Coturnix japonica: one gene and its partners. The protein of the gene in region 1 interacts with the protein of each later gene in a biochemical or structural test. Links are inferred from orthologs where the notes say so. Each region holds a gene or a part of one and is shown in the gene's direction. Other genes may lie near its edges. The genes, in order: ATF2, FOS, MAPK11 and MAPK13.

The links.
Region 2: the proteins of ATF2 (region 1) and FOS form a complex in vitro, tested with the Homo sapiens proteins (3 studies listed by BioGRID and IntAct, with this or other methods). The link is inferred for Coturnix japonica from reciprocal best matches to the Homo sapiens genes ATF2 and FOS.
Region 3: of the proteins of ATF2 (region 1) and MAPK11, one has a biochemical effect on the other in vitro, tested with the Homo sapiens proteins (4 studies listed by BioGRID and IntAct). The link is inferred for Coturnix japonica from reciprocal best matches to the Homo sapiens genes ATF2 and MAPK11.
Region 4: of the proteins of ATF2 (region 1) and MAPK13, one has a biochemical effect on the other in vitro, tested with the Homo sapiens proteins (2 studies listed by BioGRID and IntAct). The link is inferred for Coturnix japonica from reciprocal best matches to the Homo sapiens genes ATF2 and MAPK13.

Annotation. Positions count from the first base shown.
Region 1 is NC_029522.1:14,845,789-14,850,797, forward strand, and holds the start of ATF2 (cyclic AMP-dependent transcription factor ATF-2), read left to right. Parts: upstream 1-1,392; 5' UTR 1,393-1,506; intron 1,507-1,647; exon of another isoform or gene 1,648-1,762; intron 1,763-4,565; exon of another isoform or gene 4,566-4,677; intron 4,678-4,938; 5' UTR 4,939-4,981; intron 4,982-5,009. UniProt on the Homo sapiens protein: Transcriptional activator which regulates the transcription of various genes, including those involved in anti-apoptosis, cell growth, and DNA damage response.
Region 2 is NC_029520.1:34,667,098-34,671,930, forward strand, and holds FOS (proto-oncogene c-Fos), read left to right. Parts: upstream 1-1,427; 5' UTR 1,428-1,588; coding exon 1,589-1,729; intron 1,730-2,160; coding exon 2,161-2,409; intron 2,410-2,526; coding exon 2,527-2,634; intron 2,635-2,745; coding exon 2,746-3,351; 3' UTR 3,352-4,112; downstream 4,113-4,833. UniProt on the Homo sapiens protein: Nuclear phosphoprotein which forms a tight but non-covalently linked complex with the JUN/AP-1 transcription factor. In the heterodimer, FOS and JUN/AP-1 basic regions each seems to interact with symmetrical DNA half sites.
Region 3 is NC_029516.1:18,209,492-18,213,200, reverse strand, and holds part of MAPK11 (mitogen-activated protein kinase 11), read left to right. Parts: intron 1-980; coding exon 981-1,154; intron 1,155-3,709. UniProt on the Homo sapiens protein: Serine/threonine kinase which acts as an essential component of the MAP kinase signal transduction pathway.
Region 4 is NC_029541.1:544,595-549,537, forward strand, and holds the start of MAPK13 (mitogen-activated protein kinase 13), read left to right. Parts: upstream 1-1,889; 5' UTR 1,890-3,121; coding exon 3,122-3,240; intron 3,241-4,943. UniProt on the Homo sapiens protein: Serine/threonine kinase which acts as an essential component of the MAP kinase signal transduction pathway.

The DNA of each region.
Region 1 (5,009 bases):
AATGACGTATATGTAGGACCCTTTAAACAATAACTTCAAGTCAAGCATATAATATTTGTGGCAGTGTCACTTGCTTGATAAAATCAGTATGATTAATCCTAGGAAAATCAAAGGATGCACTGACCAAGTGTGAGAAGTTGTACTTCTGGCCTTGTTCCTTTACCTATTTCACATTTATCCAGAGCTGTTTCTCTGCACAGTTTTGTGTTGTCCTCCCCACTAGATTAGCTGGCACACAGAGTTTTGGCATCTCACGGTACAATAAGCTTAACAATTCTCCAGCAGTGATAAGGAAGCTGTTTGCATCAGTCCCACTACTAATTTTGATCATCCTAGTAGAAGTTTTCTGCTTGGTTCTCCAGGTTGAACTTAACTACTGGTTGAGATTGGTCCGAAGCCAATGGCACATAGACATTATACTCTTACTTAATTACAGTGTTCTTGGCATGGGAGAATGTCCAGCTTTTTGATATAGTAAAGATTTGTCATTAACCTGATGTTTGGAAAACAGTAGGATCCAAGAGTGACAAAATGCTGCACTTCAAGCTTTGCATCTCATGGTTTCTATCTTTTAACAACCTTAATACATTTAAGGTGCTGTCTGCGCTTACAGCAATGTACTGTGTAATGCTGTGCACTAATTGGTTGGGTGGCTTTGAATATTAAATAATAGATCTAATCATTCAACAACGACAAACTGACCTTTGGAAGAAAGCAAACAGGTTTATGAGCTTTGCTTTCCTGCTGTTACGGAATTAAATCCAGGGAGCTATGAGCTGTAAGTAGCCCGTCCTCGGGTATGTGAAGAAACTGGTTGGTGGCTCTGATGTGTGTGATCTGCAGGTAAACTCTTCGCTTTGAGTTTCAATACTACGTGGGTATTCATTCAGCTTAACTCGAACGTAGCATGAAGCTACTTGCTCTGTATGTTCTTCAATGGAAATAGCCATCTTTTCAAGAACTGCTGAACGCAGTCCAGAATTGCTGTTAAGTAATGCCACGTATGGATGAATTGGATCTCACTGTTGGACACATCACGGGCTTCTAAAGCACAGAAACAAACCTGCACGCAGGGAGTTCGCTACCTCATTGGCAATAATGTCCTCATTGACAATAAGGTGAATGATGATTGATAAGTGGGTTTTGAAACATTGAATGATAGGTGGGTGTTCACACCTGAATGATCCCGGGGCGCACAGACTCCCTGTCTCTGTTCCTGCTCCGTGCTGGACCAAAGATTCGTGTCCGTGCCGTGTCCCGTCGGACGTAGCCCGGATCATCCATCCCGTGTTGTACCGCCCCCACACCCGGCCCGGCCTCTCCCGTCCTCACGACGAGCCGCAGCCGCCCCGCCGGCATCGCCCAATGGGCGCCGTCCCCGCCCCCCTGCGCCACGTGACCTGCGTTCCACCGGTCCCGCGGAGATGTCGGCGTTGTTCTCGCGAGATGTGACGGAAGCCTGTGGGGGACCCGGCCGTTCGTGTTTGGCGCGGCCCGCGTTCCCGGGTGAGTTTGTAAACAGGAGCGCGGCTCTGCCGGGCCAGGTGCCGGCTCCGCCCTCCGCGCTGCGCCCGGCTCCGGGCCGCGGGGAGCGCCCCGAGGGCGGAGGGGAGGGAGCGGCCCCGCCGAGGGGTAGGCGGGGGTTCCCGGGAGGCGGTAATATGGCGCCGCGGCTCCGCGCCGCCGCAGCCCCCTCCCCCACCGCGGCCTGCGGCTCCCGCCGCCCCTAGAGCCGGGCAGGAGGACGCCGGAGCCGCCGCAGGTACGGGCCGATCGGATGGGGGCGGCGGGGCGGAGGATGCGTCGGCTTTTCTCTCGCCTCCGGTGGCTGCCCCGGGCTCGGCCTGAGCCCCGGCCCCAAGGAGGCCTCTCCGCGTCCATCCGTGGCTCCGGAGGCCCTCGGGCTGCGCCCAGCGCTCGGGCTTAGCGGTATGGGGGGGGAGGAGGAGGAAGCGAGCGCCTCTTGTGCAGGCAGGGCCGCGGCCTGTGCCTTCAGGGTTGTGCTAATGAAACATCTCCGAAGCTGTCAGAGGATTAAAAGCAAGCAGCGCAGCGCGGGCCTTCAGGCGCTGATGATTGCACGGTGTTTCAGGCACGGATATTTCATGCCCTCGGTGCTGTGTGATTGTGGGTTTGAGGTACAGGTGCTGTTGTGCTGCTGCAGCTTTGTTCGTGCTGCAGCCTTCCTACACCCCTCTGTTTGGAGGGGGTTCCATCAGTGCGTTTCTATGTCTCACCCATTCCTATGTCACTTGTTTGCTTTTCCTTGCTAGTTTCTTCCAGAAATGACCTTTCCCTTCAAATAAAGATGCAGTCACCTGCTTCATAGTAGGATATAAGGCTACTACAGCTGGAAATTGTGAGTCATCCGCTGCTTTGCAAACAGCTAATGCAAAGTGAATTTTCTCCTGCAGTTTTCTCTCCTGCCTTTTAGAATGTGTTTGTCGTCATCTTGTCACACTGTACTCAGAGCTGGGAATCTCTTCTCAAGCTCTTGCTGAGTGTAAAGGCACATAGAGCTGATTACAAAGAAAAAAAGGAGAAAAGCAGGTGTGCCTGAAGTTAACACTGTGTGACTGCTGTGCCTGCATTAGATGCTCTGTTCAACTTTGATTTATAGGATTACAAAAACTTTATGGTCCTTGGTTTCCACTGTGGTAGACGTGTCTTCAGTTGGCTAATGAAACATCAGTTGCTGATGTTAATGGAAGTCTGGTTACAGACATCACTTCAGAGGCATGAACTGGTGAAGTGTGGCAGTCACTTGGGTTCTCTTTTAAGCCCTTATTGAAGCCTTATTGAAAAAAACAAATGTCGTAAACTGCTTTTTGTAGTGCATCCAAAAAAACATGGGGTGAAGCTGCTTACAAAAGAACTTGGTGGTGTGTTTGTTTTACACTTGATAGCACATGCCTACACCCAGTCAGCTGGTTGGGTCTTTGATCTTTCTCATTGTATAGTCATGTTTCCATCCTGACTTCAATTCTAGAAATACAGACATTTTTGGTACATCTTTTTCTAGAAGATTCTTAGCTGTGCAGTGTGTAACATAAGGTTCTTTCAGGTCCTGAGTTAATCTTGCATAACTTTATGAATAATTTTTGTTTTCATGCTACTTCTCTAGTGGTTCTGTGACAGCATTGAGCAGCCTGAAATATGGTGTTCTTTTAATCTTATTAATTAGGGTCCATCTTCTGCCTAAAATGCCTTTCATCAGCTATTCTTTCTCTTCCCCCCACCATTTATCTTTTAAAATTTTTTAAAAGCCTCTTTTACTGTTTTATTTAACTGTTGTTAAACTTTTTTTTAAGACTGGTTTTAGAGGAGTAAACATGATTCAGCTGCATTAACTTCTCTCTGTAATAATGAATAGACTTCAAGTTATCGTATCCTCCTGCATAACTTAAGTATATTTGTTTCAAATCAATAGGGTACACTCTGAGACACTGAATATATCTGGGGGTAGAAATATGAGTCGATACTTTTTAACTATGCTCATATTTTTGTTTCAAGTTGGTGCCATACTGTATCTGATTGATTTTTGTGTCAGTAGCTGCTTAGCAGGAGCTCAACCTCAGAACTTTCCTATTAGCTCTACTTCAGACTGGAGTTTTTCTTTTGTAAGTTAGTGGGAACAATACAGTGTGTTTCTATTTCTGGGTAAATGCCAGTGGCCATTTACCTTGTTGCTTATAGGAAAAAAATACATCACTCTGTTTTAATGAGCTTTGAGAGTGCTTCAGTAGCACACTCCTTGGTATATTTAAGAATTTTAAATCAAACCCTTGGTTATTGTATGGAGTTACGTACTCAAAGGATGCGATCTGTAAAAATGAAGTACCTTTGTTAAGATATTTTTAATTTTAATTTTAAGATATTTTTAATTTGCTGAAAATAAAGTTGCAGAAGACTAGATTTACAATGTCTCTGAGGTTGATGGACAGTAATAAAACTTTCAAACTTAGGTAATTGAGCTGGTGAAGGCGTAAAAGCTAATATCTTGCTAAACAAGTCACAGAGAGATCTCAGGAATATGAAATCCTGTGTATTTGCTCTCTGAGATTCCCTGGCTTTCTACTTGTCTGCTGTAAGAGCTGCATTCACACTGCATAAGCTTCCACTAATCCAAGCCCCTCTGAGAAATATCCAAGCCAGGGAGCTGACATTCGAGCTGTCAGATTCAGTCAGCTGGAACTGTTGGGTCTAGGAACATTTCTTTTATTCCATCAGTGCTCCTGGTTTACCAGAATTGTCCCTTCTTATGTGAAAAGCTTGCTCCTACTGCAGAACCAAAGTGACTTCATTGGTTTGTTTCTGTGCACGTGACTATCTGGCCAGTAGATTTCTTGTTCTCATTTGAAATTGTTAAGTCAATCGTCTTCACTTCTCACACATTTTTCCTCTTATCCAGATGAGATCCCTCTTAGTTATTTGAATTGAGTTCCGTACCTTCCTCTATTTGACTTAGACGTCAGTTACAGACAGGTCACTGACAGCATCAACATTAGGCCTGCTTTTGAAAGAAGAAAGCTTGATGCAACAGGCATTGCCTTCTGCCTCCCCAGAACACTGAGAGAGACCGCGTGACTTCGAGGAAGTGGAACAACTGCTCTTCTAAGCAGTAGAGTGACAGTTTTGAAGAAGAAGCTCCTGTTTTCCTATTGACCAGTTCTTGAGGTTTGCATCCTTTAAACAGCCTATAGTTATCTTCCAGAATCTACTTGCTAGTGATTCTACATCTTTTTTAAGGAGGAACGTTTATATTTTTCCATATTTTTCCTCCTTCAGTCTGTTCATTTTTCACTTTCAGTTCTTTAGGAATGTTAAATTCTGTGGTGACATGACAGAAATGCAGTCAGAACACTTCTGAAAGCGGTCTGTAATAGTGAATATTAATTACACCACTTCTGCTTCACTTTTCTTTGTTTTTGCATACAGGAAACTGAAAAGAAAAAATAAGAAGTTGTTCCAGTCCTTCTAGGTAAGTGAAGTGATGGCTTGTATTCTAA
Region 2 (4,833 bases), on another chromosome or scaffold:
GGTGCAGTTTGGCCAGAGGGACACCGGGCGGTTTGTGGCGCGTTGCCCCTGCTCCTGCCCGGGACGTGGCAGCGATGCTGGGGTCACGGCATCGCCTGTTTGCGGCGCGTCCCTCCGGCAGCAGCGCCGAGGGCGGCTCTCCGAGCTGCGGCCAGAGCGAGGGGCGGGGGGTCCGGGCCGGTCCCATGGAGGGAGCAGCCCTGGCAGGCCCGGAGCCGGTGAGAGCAGCGCCGGCCCATGGGCCCCTCGGCCGGGAACGGCGGAGCCGTGCGCTGCGGCAGTCCTTGGCTGTCCCCTCGGCGCTGACGGGCAGCGCAGAAATAGCAGCTGGCCCAGTTCTCCCGCCCCCGTGGCCCAGATCTCTAAGAACGGAGGTTGTTCGCGCGGCAACAGCGGCAGCGGCATCAGGAGCCGCATTTAGACTGTGAGCTCAAAGAGCGGGAGAGGCTGCCAGCAGGATCCCAGCCTGCACGGGTGACGCTCCTGCTTGGAGACTGCGCTGCGGGCTCTGTTTGTTGCTGTAAACACGCTGCCGCTGCAGCTTCCCTGTTACTATCTATAGCCGCGATCTCTTGGCTCCCGTGCGAGGCGAGGCTGCGGTCTGGCCGCCGGCTCTGCCTGCCCCGAGCCAGGGCTGCCGACATCCCCGCCGTGGGTGGGTGTCTCCGGGCTTCGCCGCGACGGGGATCAAAACAAAACCCAAACTGGAGGAAAGGACGGGCCTCGCCCTCGCCGCTCCCCCCGCGCCCCCCGCCCGTGCCCCCGTCCCGACGCCCGGGGGGCTTCCCCGAGAGCTGCCCTGCCCCGGGCCGCCCCGCACTCCTTCCCGGCCCTCCGTGTGCGTGACCCCGCCGGGGGGACGCGTCCCCGCCGCGCTGAGCACCCTCCCGCCGCGGGGCAAAGGGGACGAAGGGCGCCGCGCCCCTCCGCACCCCACGCGTGTCCGCGGCCGGCTCCCATAGCACGAAGCCCCGCCGGGCCGCTCGGGGCGGGGGCTGCCGGCCGCGGGGGAGCGCCGCGAGGGGGGGTCGGGGCGGCCCCGTCCCACCGCGTCCCGTCCCGTCCCGCGCCGCACTTGGCCGCAGCCTGGAGCGCTTCCCGTCAGTCACGCCCCCTCGCACAGGATGTATCCCATATAAGGATATCTGCGTCAGTGGGTTCCCGAGACCGGCCGTACCACTCCGCGAGGGGGGGGTTATCCCGGAGCGGCTCCTCCCGCCCGTCCCGCCGCGCTCCCCTCGCCCCGCCGCGCCTCCTCCGCCCCGCGGTGCCGTCGTTCCCCGCACTTGGAGGCGGAGCGGGGCGGGCGGCGGGGCCGGGAGAGCGGGGCGAGGCGGACGCGGGCAGAGCGGCCCCCCCCGCGAGCGGGCGTGGTGCGTCCCGCGTGACGTGTGCGATTCACGCGGAGCAGGATATAAAGGGTTGGCGCCGAGCGATACTCCAGCGGCAGAGGCAGCTCCGGCAGCGGAGACAGAGACGCGCGGCGCGGAGCGGATACAGGGACGCAGCCGGCCCCTCTTTGCGTTCTGCCGCGAGGCGCTCCGCTATAGCACCGCAAGGCCCCCGCACGGCCACGCAAACAGCCGACATGATGTACCAGGGCTTCGCCGGGGAGTACGAGGCGCCCTCCTCCCGCTGCAGCAGCGCTTCCCCGGCCGGGGACAGCCTCACCTACTACCCGTCCCCGGCGGACTCCTTTTCCAGCATGGGTTCCCCCGTCAACTCGCAGGTGAGGGGCCGTTGCGCGGCCGCCGCGGGGCTGGGCTCTGGGGGTGCTGGGGGGAGATGGGTGCGGGGGGCGCGCCTCGGGCCGGGTCGGGGCGATGCGGGACCCGAGGGGGGCGGGTGGCTTCAACCGGGCCGGGGACAGAGTGGGGAGCGGCCGCGACGCCGCCGCGGGGCGGGCGGGGGGAGCCGGGGTCCGGGCTGCGCGTTGCGGCGGGTGTGTAAAGCGGCTTCATTGATAAAACGCGAGTTCATTGAGGAGACTCCGGAGCGGCGCCTGCGTCAGCGCGGACGTCAGAGATATTTATATCGGGCCGCTCTCGTGCGGAGCGGCGCTGGCGGCGCGGCCCCGGGGGCGGCGGGGAGCGGCTCGGAGGGGAGTGTCGGCCGCAGCCCCCCGCTCACCGAACCCCCCCCCCACTTTATGTCCCGCAGGATTTCTGCACCGACCTGGCCGTGTCCAGCGCCAACTTTGTACCCACCGTGACGGCCATCTCCACCAGTCCCGACCTGCAGTGGCTGGTGCAGCCCACCCTCATCTCCTCGGTCGCCCCCTCCCAGAACCGCGGGCACCCCTACGGCGTGCCGCCGCCCGCTCCCCCCGCCGCCTATTCCCGCCCCGCCGTGCTGAAGGCGCCGGGCGGCCGCGGGCAAAGCATCGGACGAAGGGGCAAAGTCGAGCAGGTGAGCGGGGCTAAGGGGAAGAGGAGGGGGGTGGAAATGGGGGGCCGGGAGAGGGGCCGGGGCGCGGGGAAAGGCGGGGGGTCTGACGGACGCGCTGACCGCCCTCTGTGTCCGCAGCTGTCCCCGGAGGAGGAGGAAAAGAGGAGGATCCGCCGGGAGAGGAACAAGATGGCAGCGGCCAAGTGCCGCAACCGGCGGCGGGAGCTGACCGACACGCTGCAGGCGGTGAGTGCCGCCCCGGGATCCCGGGGGCTGCGGGGCGGGGACGGGACCCCGCGGGTGGGGGCGGGCGGGTGAGGTTGGCTCCGGCTGACGGCCCGATCTGTGCTTCCGCAGGAGACCGACCAGCTGGAGGAGGAGAAGTCCGCTCTGCAGGCGGAGATCGCCAACCTGCTGAAGGAGAAGGAGAAGCTGGAGTTCATCCTGGCGGCGCACCGGCCCGCCTGCAAGATGCCCGAGGAGCTGCGCTTCTCCGAGGAGCTGGCGGCCGCCACCGCGCTGGACCTGGGCGCACCCAGCCCCGCCGCGGCCGAGGAGACCTTCGCCCTGCCGCTAATGACCGAGGCGCCGCCGGCCGTGCCGCCCAAGGAGCCCAGCGGCAGCGGGCTGGAGCTGAAGGCCGAGCCCTTCGACGAGCTGCTTTTCTCCACGGGGCCGCGGGAGGCCTCCCGCTCCGTGCCTGACATGGACCTGCCCGGAGCCTCCTCCTTCTACGCGTCGGACTGGGAGCCGCTGGGCGCCGGGAGCAGCGGGGAGCTGGAGCCCCTCTGCACCCCCGTGGTGACCTGCACCCCGTGCCCCAGCACCTACACCTCCACCTTCGTCTTCACCTACCCCGAGGCGGACGCCTTCCCCAGCTGTGCTGCCGCACACCGGAAGGGCAGCAGCAGCAACGAGCCGTCGTCTGACTCCCTCAGCTCCCCGACCCTGCTGGCCTTGTGAGGGGCTCGCCCCGCACTGACTGACCTGCCGGGCCCCCTCCCCTGCCCACGCACCCCCACGGACTCACCACGCCCCCCGGGCCTGGGGAGGGCACTGCCGCCGCCACCCCCACCCCATCCATCTGAGGCCCGGGGCCTGATGGAGTGCCTGGGCCCATACCTCCTCCAGAGATGTAGCAAACCGCATGGAGTTTGTCTTGTCCCCAACGGCCCATCTGTGAGAGCTGGTAGTCTGTAGCATGTCCCACATGGCTGGGTTGGTGACTCCCCCCCTCCTTAGTATCACTAGCATTAACTAATTAATCCCTTGGTTTTAAATGATTGGAATTAACCTGGTGCTGGGTATCTCCGACTTGTATCTAGTGCAGCTGATTAACAATAACTACTGTGTTCCTGGCAATATCGTGTTCTTAGCAACGACCCATCTTATGTGGGGGGGGAAAGAGACTCTATTTTATTTTCTAGTAGGTAGATGAATAGCTATATCCATGTACTGTAGTTCTACATCGATGTTCATTGTAACTTTACTGATCATGCGTTGTTGAGGTGGTCTGAATGTTCTGACATAAGTTTTCCATGAAAACGTTTTTATTGTGTTTTTAATTTATTTATTAAGATGGATTCTCAGATATTTATATTTTTATTTTATTTTTTTCTACCTTGAGGTCTTTTTTGACATGTGGAAAGTGAATTTGGATGAAACTTAAGCATTGTTTGCTTATTATTGTTCAGAGACATTGTCAATAAAAGCATTTAAGTTGAGTGCTGGTGCTGTCCTCACTTTACCTTTTGCGCTACTCCCTCTGACCCCAGTGGGGCTCCCTGAACTCTACTTGGGGTTGGGCTTTACCGAAATCTGACTGCCGTAAGCGTAGGGTGCGTTGGGGTGGGAAAACCATTAAGTGCAGATCTGTCATTGCCCTGATGTGTTAGTCAGCCCTGGCTGTGCCTATGCCCTTCCCACCCGCTGGTGGGGCCACCCCTCCCCTGACCTTCCGGCTTCCGTGGGCTGGTGCACCTCTGTGTGTTGCCTGCCGTGGCCTTTCTGTGATAAACCAGAGGCGTAGGAGGGGTCTCCCCCCTGAACTGCCCGGGCCATCTCTGTGCTGGGATCTGCTCTGTCACTTGCATGTGGCTGGCAGCCCAATTTCTTCCTTCATAGGGAGGGGTGGGACTGCAGCCTTGCTTTGTGTGTCCTGGGCTTGCTACTGCAGGAGCAGCTACTGAATGTCTTCTCATGATGTTTGCACACGTCTCTTTGAACAAAATAACATATGGCACAATACATTTCCTCAGTGTTTTGTATTGGTTCTCTTGGTCCTTGGATGAATGCAAGCTATGGCAAGCAGCTTATGAGCTCTCTCCCCACCAGGGTCTTGTCTGTGCAGCCTGGACTCTTCTCTGGCTCATGTGAAGAGGTTGCTGCTCTCTGTTCCTCCTGCTGCCTGCACAGCAAAAAATGTTCCTTTGGTGGGCAAATGTC
Region 3 (3,709 bases), on another chromosome or scaffold:
CCCAAATCTTTTGATTTTGGTGGAAATTACTGGCTCGTTGTAATGGAAAATTCAGTGGGTGAAAACAGTCTGTGGGTGAAAAGCAAAAGCAGGCGATATATAGGAGGGGTGCATAAAAACTGTCACAGGATCTGGACTAGAGGCATCACTTCTGGCTCAGGAAGGCCAGGAGCTGTGAATTGCTGGCAAGGAGGAGAACACGCCAGGAAATAGAGCTGTTTGAATGCTCCTTTTGAGTATTATTTCCTAAGAATTTATGAACCGTTGTTGGACACAGGATACTGGGCTAGACTGGCCAATGGTCTGATCTGGCACAGCTGTTATTGTGTTTAATCAATTGGATCTGCCTGTGCAAAAGAGATTTTTCAATGAATCGTTCATTGTGGCAAGGCGAAGAAGATGCTCAGTCACCTGAAACATCTTGCTACACTGCCTAGTTTGTTTCACCTGGTGCACATTCAAGAGTTGTAAAGAGGGAAATATTTTGAGTTAAGATGGGAATTATTTATATTTGTCGAAATACAGTTTTATTTTTACAAATACAAGTATATTCTAATAATCTGCAGCTGTTCCCTTTAAACCCATTTACTTGGTGGTAGGCCTCTTGGTGCTTTTGTTACCTGGTCTGATGGGACCTTGTTAAGCACCAGATGCACAACATGGGGGATTTAACTTGAAGCACACGGATGTTTTCAGGGTGAAGGCTGTGAATGTCTAATGAGGTGAACCAGATTTCAGATAGATTATCATGAACTGCATTGCGCTCCACAAGCAAACCAGAAGCTTCTTCCAACTATGAGAGTTCTACTTGCAGTATAAAATCTCTAAAAATTGTTATATTGCTTAAATTCTGTGGGTATTTTTCCCAATAATGTTAACTGAGCATAAGGTGAGAACAAATTGTATGTAAACAGTTGCCTTCTCTTCCACTTCTAGATGGTCCCTTCTGGTTTTGATCCTAGTTTCTCTTTTTCCCATAGCGGTAGACCTTCTTGAGAAGATGCTGATATTGGACAGTGATAAAAGAATCACTGCCTCGGCAGCGCTTGCACACCCATACTTTGTGCAGTATCACGATCCAGATGACGAACCTGAGGCCGAGCTCTATGATGAGTCAATAGAGAATAAAGAGCGAACCATAGAAGAATGGAAAGGTAACAGATAACTGCACATAGGAGTTAATGTGGTCAGCAGAACAAAACCTGGCTTCGGAAACAGTATTTCTCTGTTTTGGACCAGAGCAGTTTTAACTCTTCAGGGATGCAAGGACAGTCCATATGTGTTTGTGTGAGTAGAGAGGTGGAAGGGCTGGTAGTTTCTCCCTGGATTTTGCTCCCTTCTTCCATTCTTCCTCTAACAACACCTGACTAGGTTTCCTATAGCAAGTTTAACCTTAACTGAAAGCTGACACTAGTTACCATGTAACCACTCATTTCATCTTCCTTTCAATCTCCTAGGCCAGATCCTCAGCTGAAGTAACAGTCTTAGGGCATCTGACATTTTTTGGGGTTCTGGCCTCACGTTCTTCAGAAGAAGTGAAAAATTGCTATGTACACATGTATTTTACTAATCCTTCTTGATATAGGCAGCTAATTGTGAATAGATAAAGCATGCTGTTGATCCTGTTTGAGGTGTGAACTGATGGTTTTACTTTGGGGTGACAAAACCCCAAACTTGAAAGAAATACTGCAACGTTTTTTCAGTAGTTAATTTCATGCTTGCAACATGATCATATTGCAGTGTAGCATCACAGAAATAGTGTGGCTAAACAGTAAGTTTGCAAATACACTGAAAAGCACAGTCCAATTTCATCATTGTCCAATGGGGATATAGCATAAGCTAAAGCATCCTTACTCAACATTCTAAATTGAGAAATGTTCTAGAAAACTAACTCTTCCTGTTTATTAATAAAGCCCTCTCCTTGGCTTAAGCTCATCATTATGTAATCTATAAAATAAATACTTTTCTTTTTCTGCTTATGTATTCTATAACTTGTTCCCCAGATTAGTTTGATCAAATATATGAGCACAGTACCTAGTGTTATGGTGAACATTACTGACCTCCTGGACCTTCCTCATGTCCTTGCGCTGACTTTCTGCATTCTGTGCCACGTTTTATCCTGGGTATTGAGGAGGTTGACTACAGCAAACACGCCTCAGAGAGATACAAAATAGGTCATGGGTAAAGCAGTACAGTAAAGCAGCCTCCTAGAGTCCTGAAAAGGTTTTCTAACATCCTAGAAGGGTCTATAGAAAAAGTGAGGATTGAGTGGCATCAGGGCTCCTTAACCATACTCTGTATGCAAAATCTGGCAGTGAGGAGGTGTGTTCAGTTTGCTTTTGTACTTACCAATGGATGGTTTGCTTTCTGCTGCTTGTTGAGCTGACAGAGTCCTTAACTGGCAAGTTTAACAGTTTCCAATTCAATAAAGCTGATTTCTGTCGGTGGTGAAACATTGTTAAAATAACTTAAGAACAGTCTTAGCTTGACTTCGAACTGACAAATTGGAGGTGAATTCCATAGGAGGGGCAGTGTGTCCTACAGCAGTGCCGTATTTATTACACCGCTGTGCTTTGGGAACTACAGATGAAATTCCTTCTTTATACAGGAAAAAAGAATTTCAAGACTATCCTGGCATGAAACGTGCAGCTCTTCCTCCTGGCCACATTCTTAGCTTGGGAAAGTAAATATTTTCAAGCACCATATGGGCCAGATTTAATAAGGTGACATTAAAGGTCACAGTTTGCATAAAATGTTTGAATTGTTAATGAAATATTGACCCATTTTTCTCCAGACATCAGTGCCATATTTCTCTTTTTCTGTTCAAATTAAAAGTGGTGCTTGATCCCAAGGGGCACTGAGCAGCCAAAGTAAAATGAGATTTCAGACACTTTGTGTTACACGTTGGGCACTTAAGAATTTCCTTGACCTCTGTTGCACAGCTGAGGTTTGCAGCCCAAGCTCATAGATTTTCTTCTGACATGTTTAATCAGTTAGAAGATATTTCAAAATGCAGAGGCCAAGAGAATGCCATTCAGAGTTGAACGCTACGCACTATCGCTCCTTCGCTGCTGCTCCAGTTTCACATATCTCAGCATAACATCTGTACTTTCAGCTAACTAGGTGACAGGAGAACAGAGGAAAGAGCTTCATAAGCAGGCAGTTCACAGGCAGCAGCATAATTTATAATACAGTCCCAGGCACCTGATCCGTGAGGGCACTACCTTACTGACTTCAGCCAGGAGCTCTCTGACATACCTGGCTGCCTGTGACCAGGTGCTCTTTAAATGCTGCAGATCAAGCACTGAGTCACCCAACAAATCCTTCAGCCTCAGGGCTCTGTATGTGGAGTTTCTTCCAGGGGAATCCTTCAATTGTTAGCAAAGCTGCGCAACTGAAGTGTAGCCAAGACCCAGCTGTAGGATTTGTACACCCTTCTTACAGTAATGCTCAGTCCATTTTCATGCTTATTAGCTGTCAGATCCTGAAGTAGCACATAGTTGGCTGTTATTTACGTATGGACTGGATTTGATCCATAAAATACGTTATCTAGCTTGAGAAAATCCATAGGAGGTGGCCACTGATGCGATGCATCATTGCTGCACAAGGCACAAAATATGATGTGAACATGAAAAGATAAAGGGCTCTTCCAAAAGCAGCATAAAATAGCTGTGAACCTGTGTTTCTAGTTAGGCCTCTCTTGAAGAAA
Region 4 (4,943 bases), on another chromosome or scaffold:
GGTTTTTTTTTCCTAAAGATGTTGGAATCCAAAGCAAAGAAACAAGCATGCATAAAAACACGTTCTCCCTGTTGCTGTCTATGTAGGTATTTATATAATATAAAACCAACTAGAGGATTCTTTTTTTTACCTTCACAGATAAGAGCTTCTTGGCTGCTTGTTAGCAGGTTGATCTCGGTGTGAGGAAATGGGAGAGGGGAGTGTGTTAGGATACAAACACGACAGAAGTATTGATGTTTTACAGGACTCCATGTGAGTTTAATGCCCAGTTAAGTACTGGCAGGAGGGGCTCTTTCTGTGTTGCTCTGTGCTATTACTGTGCTATGGATCTCAGGATCCTGATTGTAGGCCTTGGGGAGGAGACATTTCTAGACATTTATCAGTTGCAGGTGTCCTGTGCATGCAACACAGCAGCTGTGTATGTGAGGAGAAGGGCTTTGCAGTGTTTTGCATTCTTGTTACTTACGGGATGGAGAGGAACTGTTTGTAGTATTTTTACCACGTGTCTGAAGAGGCAGCACAAAGGGATGGGACACAAGAAAAACGAAGCCATCAATTCTTGCTAGGCTACTTTCCAGTGATCTCTTCAGGTCAAACTGAAGGCTGGGGTGAGGTGAAGAGGGACTTCGTGCTCTGTGATAACGCTCAGTTCAGACCAACAAAATAGCGACAAAACCTCCCTGCTGGACAAGCAGTCCGAGTATTCAAACGGAAAAAAAAAAATAAATGTAGATAGACTCTGTAAACCTACAGCAGGATGATTTTTATCAGCCATTTTATGTGTAGATGCTACAAGTGTGATTCCATGCGGAAATACTGCTCAAGATTTTTATTAATATAGACATTGTGCATCTGTGTGCGAGTGGGAAGCTTTCATTCACAGCCCTGCTTGAGGGAGCTCCTGCCTGCAGTGCGGTGCTGTTCAGCTGCCTGCAGCCTGAACAGGAGGATGCACTTCAAAGAACAGATCTGCTATTTTCTTTCTATCCGTGAGTTTTGTTGAAGTTGGTTATGCCGGATAAGATGTCACAATACCACTGGTTAAAAATAAAACCTATTTTTCAGATCTGCTGTGCTGATGGTTCTTCTGACCCCTTTGGCTAAAGGTGTGATTTTGATGTGAGATGAATTCCTCTCTCGTCGTACAGAATCCCGCGTGGTGGAGGGGTGTGCAGTGCGGCCCAACTGCAGGCCCATGCCCATTTGCCTCCCCCCCCCCCCAGGTACAAACCTGGCCTGGAGTCTGCATGACTGCTGTACAGTGAAAGTACGTGTAGGCTGTGTATATAGTGTACACAATAAATGAGCATTCTGCTCCTTGCCTTGACCTGGGACTTTTCCCTGGTAGCAGAGATTTGCAGCTGTCTGCTGCTTAGAAATGGGTGGGTTTCTGTCTCCAGCTGCCATCCAGTCGGTGGTGGGAGCAGGCGTTGTGACTTGCCATAATGGTGGTTTTCTGACTGCTGTTTGTCCAGCACTGTTCAGTCAGAAGGGCAATCAGGGGTAACTGAATAGAGCTGCGTTCATCACACCAACAGAAGCTGCAGTGCTGGCTGTGATGGAGCTGCAGCTTGTGCTGCTCCCCCTGCAGCACTGCACGGAGGTTGGTTTGAAGAGGCACACAGGGAAAGAGAAAGGTGTTTGCTGTGGTGCAAATGGAGAGAAAGAATCAAATGGTCAGAAAGAATCCTGGATGGAATTTGTCAGTTTTTCTGGGGAGAAGAATCCCAAACCTTCCACATTCCTGAGTTGTGTTTGGTTGCAGTTTATGTTAGTTAGCAAACGACACTAAAATCGGTGAGAAATTAGGGAAAAGTGACTTAGACTAATTCAAAGAAAACAGGAAATCTTAAATTAACTCCTCTTCCAATAGCTGTGCCCCAGATACTCACAGCTCCTGGACAGGTGCTGGCAGCCACGTGCGTGCAGTTGAGCAACAATTCTCCGTGCTCACCAGGTGACAGATGAGTTACATTTGTTTCTGCCGCAGCACTTCTGGCTGTAACTCCTCTTGCTCACGGATGTATTTATAGAACCCAGCCCATTCTGCTTTGTTTCCTTACTATGCTGTTGCTAGAGCCAGGGTTGGTTTGTACGTGTGTGCATAAGTAAAACTGAAATGCTGCCAGCACGCAGACCCTGATGTGCTTTATAGAACTGCAGGCCCTACCACTGCTACCTGGAGAACACCTGTGCCAATTTTAAAGCATGGTGTGGTGGTTGCATGTAAGCAGATAAAAGGAAACCTCCCTAAAACTGCAGTAGTGCATTTCTGTAAGTCCCACCTGTAGGGCAGAGGATGGAGCAAAGCTGAGTGTTGGCAGAGCGTGGCTCCTCAGGCAGAGCTTAGTCACTTCCTCCAGAGGGAGGGTAAACCCTCGGAGCTCCACTGAAGTCAAATCAGAGTGTGAGGTCTGTGCTCAGCAGGGTGGGCTGGGCGCTGCGCGGCGGGACTGACTGCTGCAGAAACGAGGCCGGACCCCTCAGACCCCAACACCTGCAGCTCCCAGGATGATCCCATCTCAGAGCAACTCCTGAGCATCTCACTGCAGTCTCGTAGATGAAGGGAAGCTCAGACAGCCTTCTCTGCGCCGTGTGCTGGGAAACTGTGGAGGAAATTCTGGCTGCTCTCTTGCTCTTCGGTGAATGTAACACCCCAGTGTCTGTCCTGGAGCTCTCCTCTCCCAGCAGGTCCCTGCAGGGCTGACTCGGCACTGTGGCACGGTGACCAGGTGTGACCTCGGTTTCCTGATGCGCCCTTACTCACCCCATCGGCGATCTCACGAGACCCCCGTCAGCCCCATGTGGCACTTGTGGGGCGTCTCTTCTCGCAGTCCCACATGCAGCTGCAGGTGTGTCTGCGTTGTGGCGTCTATCGGAGCACCCAGAAATACCTGCACACAGCCAAGGCGTGTCTGGAAACCTGATGCCTCATCTCCGCCATGTGGAGGCGGAGGGAGGAGGGCTGTGAGACATGTCCCTTCTTGCTCACAACAGCTGAAAGCAGACAAGGCAGCTCACTGTAGCCCTTCTCAGCAGCGCAGGGCATCCCGGTTGCACCCCAGGGGCGCCGCCAGCCGCCGGGACCCTGGGTGGGTGGCAGTCCCGCAGCCACCGGGCGATGAACATCGCAAGGAGAAGAGGCTTCTACAGACAGGAGCTGAACAGAACCATCTGGGAGCTGCCCAGGAGGTACACGTCCCTGCACCCTGTGGGCTCTGGGGCCTACGGTTCTGTCTGGTGAGTGGGGCCTGGGGGAGCAGCGAGGGCTGATGGTGAGAGGTGCCTCAGCACCCTCTGGTCTGATGAGGGTCTTTGTGTGTGCGATGAAGGTAGTTTGTATGTTGCTCGGTCACCCTGAAGGGCTGCTTGAAGAATGGCCCTGTGCCTCCTGCGGTCACCCCGACAGGCAGCAGGGAGAGTCGTGTCTGGCTCAGCCCTGAGGGTGTCCTGCAGGTGGGGATGTCCTCGGGTCAGAGCTTGGGGGATGGATGTGGTTGGCAGGAAGAGGGAAATGCCTGAATATCTGAGAGCTGAAGAGTTGGGCACTGCTGAAACAAACACTGAGCTCTGGGCAGAGCTGTAGCAGCTGATGCTGTCTCATGGGGGAATGGAGCTGGGTGGTACAGCCAGAGCACTGTGTCCAGCTCTGTGTTGTGAGGCAGCAGCCATCTGGGACTTCCCGGGACTTCCCGGAACCAGGGAGCAGCAGAGCTGCTGTTAATCAGTTACTTGGACAAAGGTACCTACAGGGAAAGCGAGCAGAAGAGTCAGATCTCACTTTGTTTACACTGGTGGGTGTGAGGGTGCTGGTGACTCTTAGTGAGGGCAAATCCATTGCAGCCCATTGTCAGTACCCAAGCAGAACCTCACAGCATAACAGGGTGAAAAGAAGAGGGAAGAAGTGTGTCCTCTTTCCTGGATGTTGGGCAAAGCATCTCCTGCTGTCCCAGAGGAATCCCCAAACTCCCTGCCTTTACTGGGGCTCTGTCTGCACTGCAGGATGTGAATGGGGACCAGAGTTTTCCTTCCCCACTTCGCTGAGTGTATGCAGGGTGGGGTCCTGGGATGCTTCTGTGAGCCCCATAATGCTAAACTTGATGTTTTCATATCTACACAGAAAAAAGCAAGAAAAATCCCTCCAAAGTTTTCTCGACTAGCAAAACACCAGTACCCAAACCAGCCCATACTGTGGGAGTCTCAGCTGCTCAGGAAGGGATGGGTTAGAGCGGACTGAGGGGGACGGGGGCTTTGTTATGGGATGGATGGTGCTTGGCAAGGTGGGATTGTGCTGGTTCCTGTACACAGCACAGGAGGAATGCTGTGCAGTTGGGATTTGCTGTCCTCTGCTGGGAACCACTGGGAAGCTTTTCTATCACAGTGTTATTTGGAGCCAACAGCTTTTGCACATCTTTGAACAACCAAGAGGGGCTGAGAAACAAATTGCAGGAGGTCAGCACGGGCCTGTTTCTTTCCCCATTAATTCAGCAGTGACTTGGTAACTGGGGAAGTTTTCTGATGCCCCCAGCCCTGTCCTATGGGTGCGACGTGCCACAATTACCCATAGAACCTTCATGACCTCACCTCGAGGTTGGCCTTGGTGTCATCCTGAGCTTCAGCTGCTCCTTAATCTTTGCTGGGAAGAACACCGTGGGCTCGCCCAGCTGTGTCACATGAGTTACCTCTGGGCTGTGCATTATGGCAAAGGCAAAAGTGGCTCCATCTGTGCTGGGTGGAGTGAAACTCCAGCTCCTAAGTGGAGTGATGGGGTTGGACGTGTGTTCTGCAAGCCCCACGCTGGGAAGGCAGTAAGAGCCAGCGCTTGGAGGCTGGGAAATCTGCCCTGACTTCTGTGTTTGAGTGGTGCCGGATCCTTCCTCTTTGTTCCTTCACAGCTTGGAGAGCTGTGCTGCCCTTCTGCCAGCAGCAGCTAAAGAACGAAT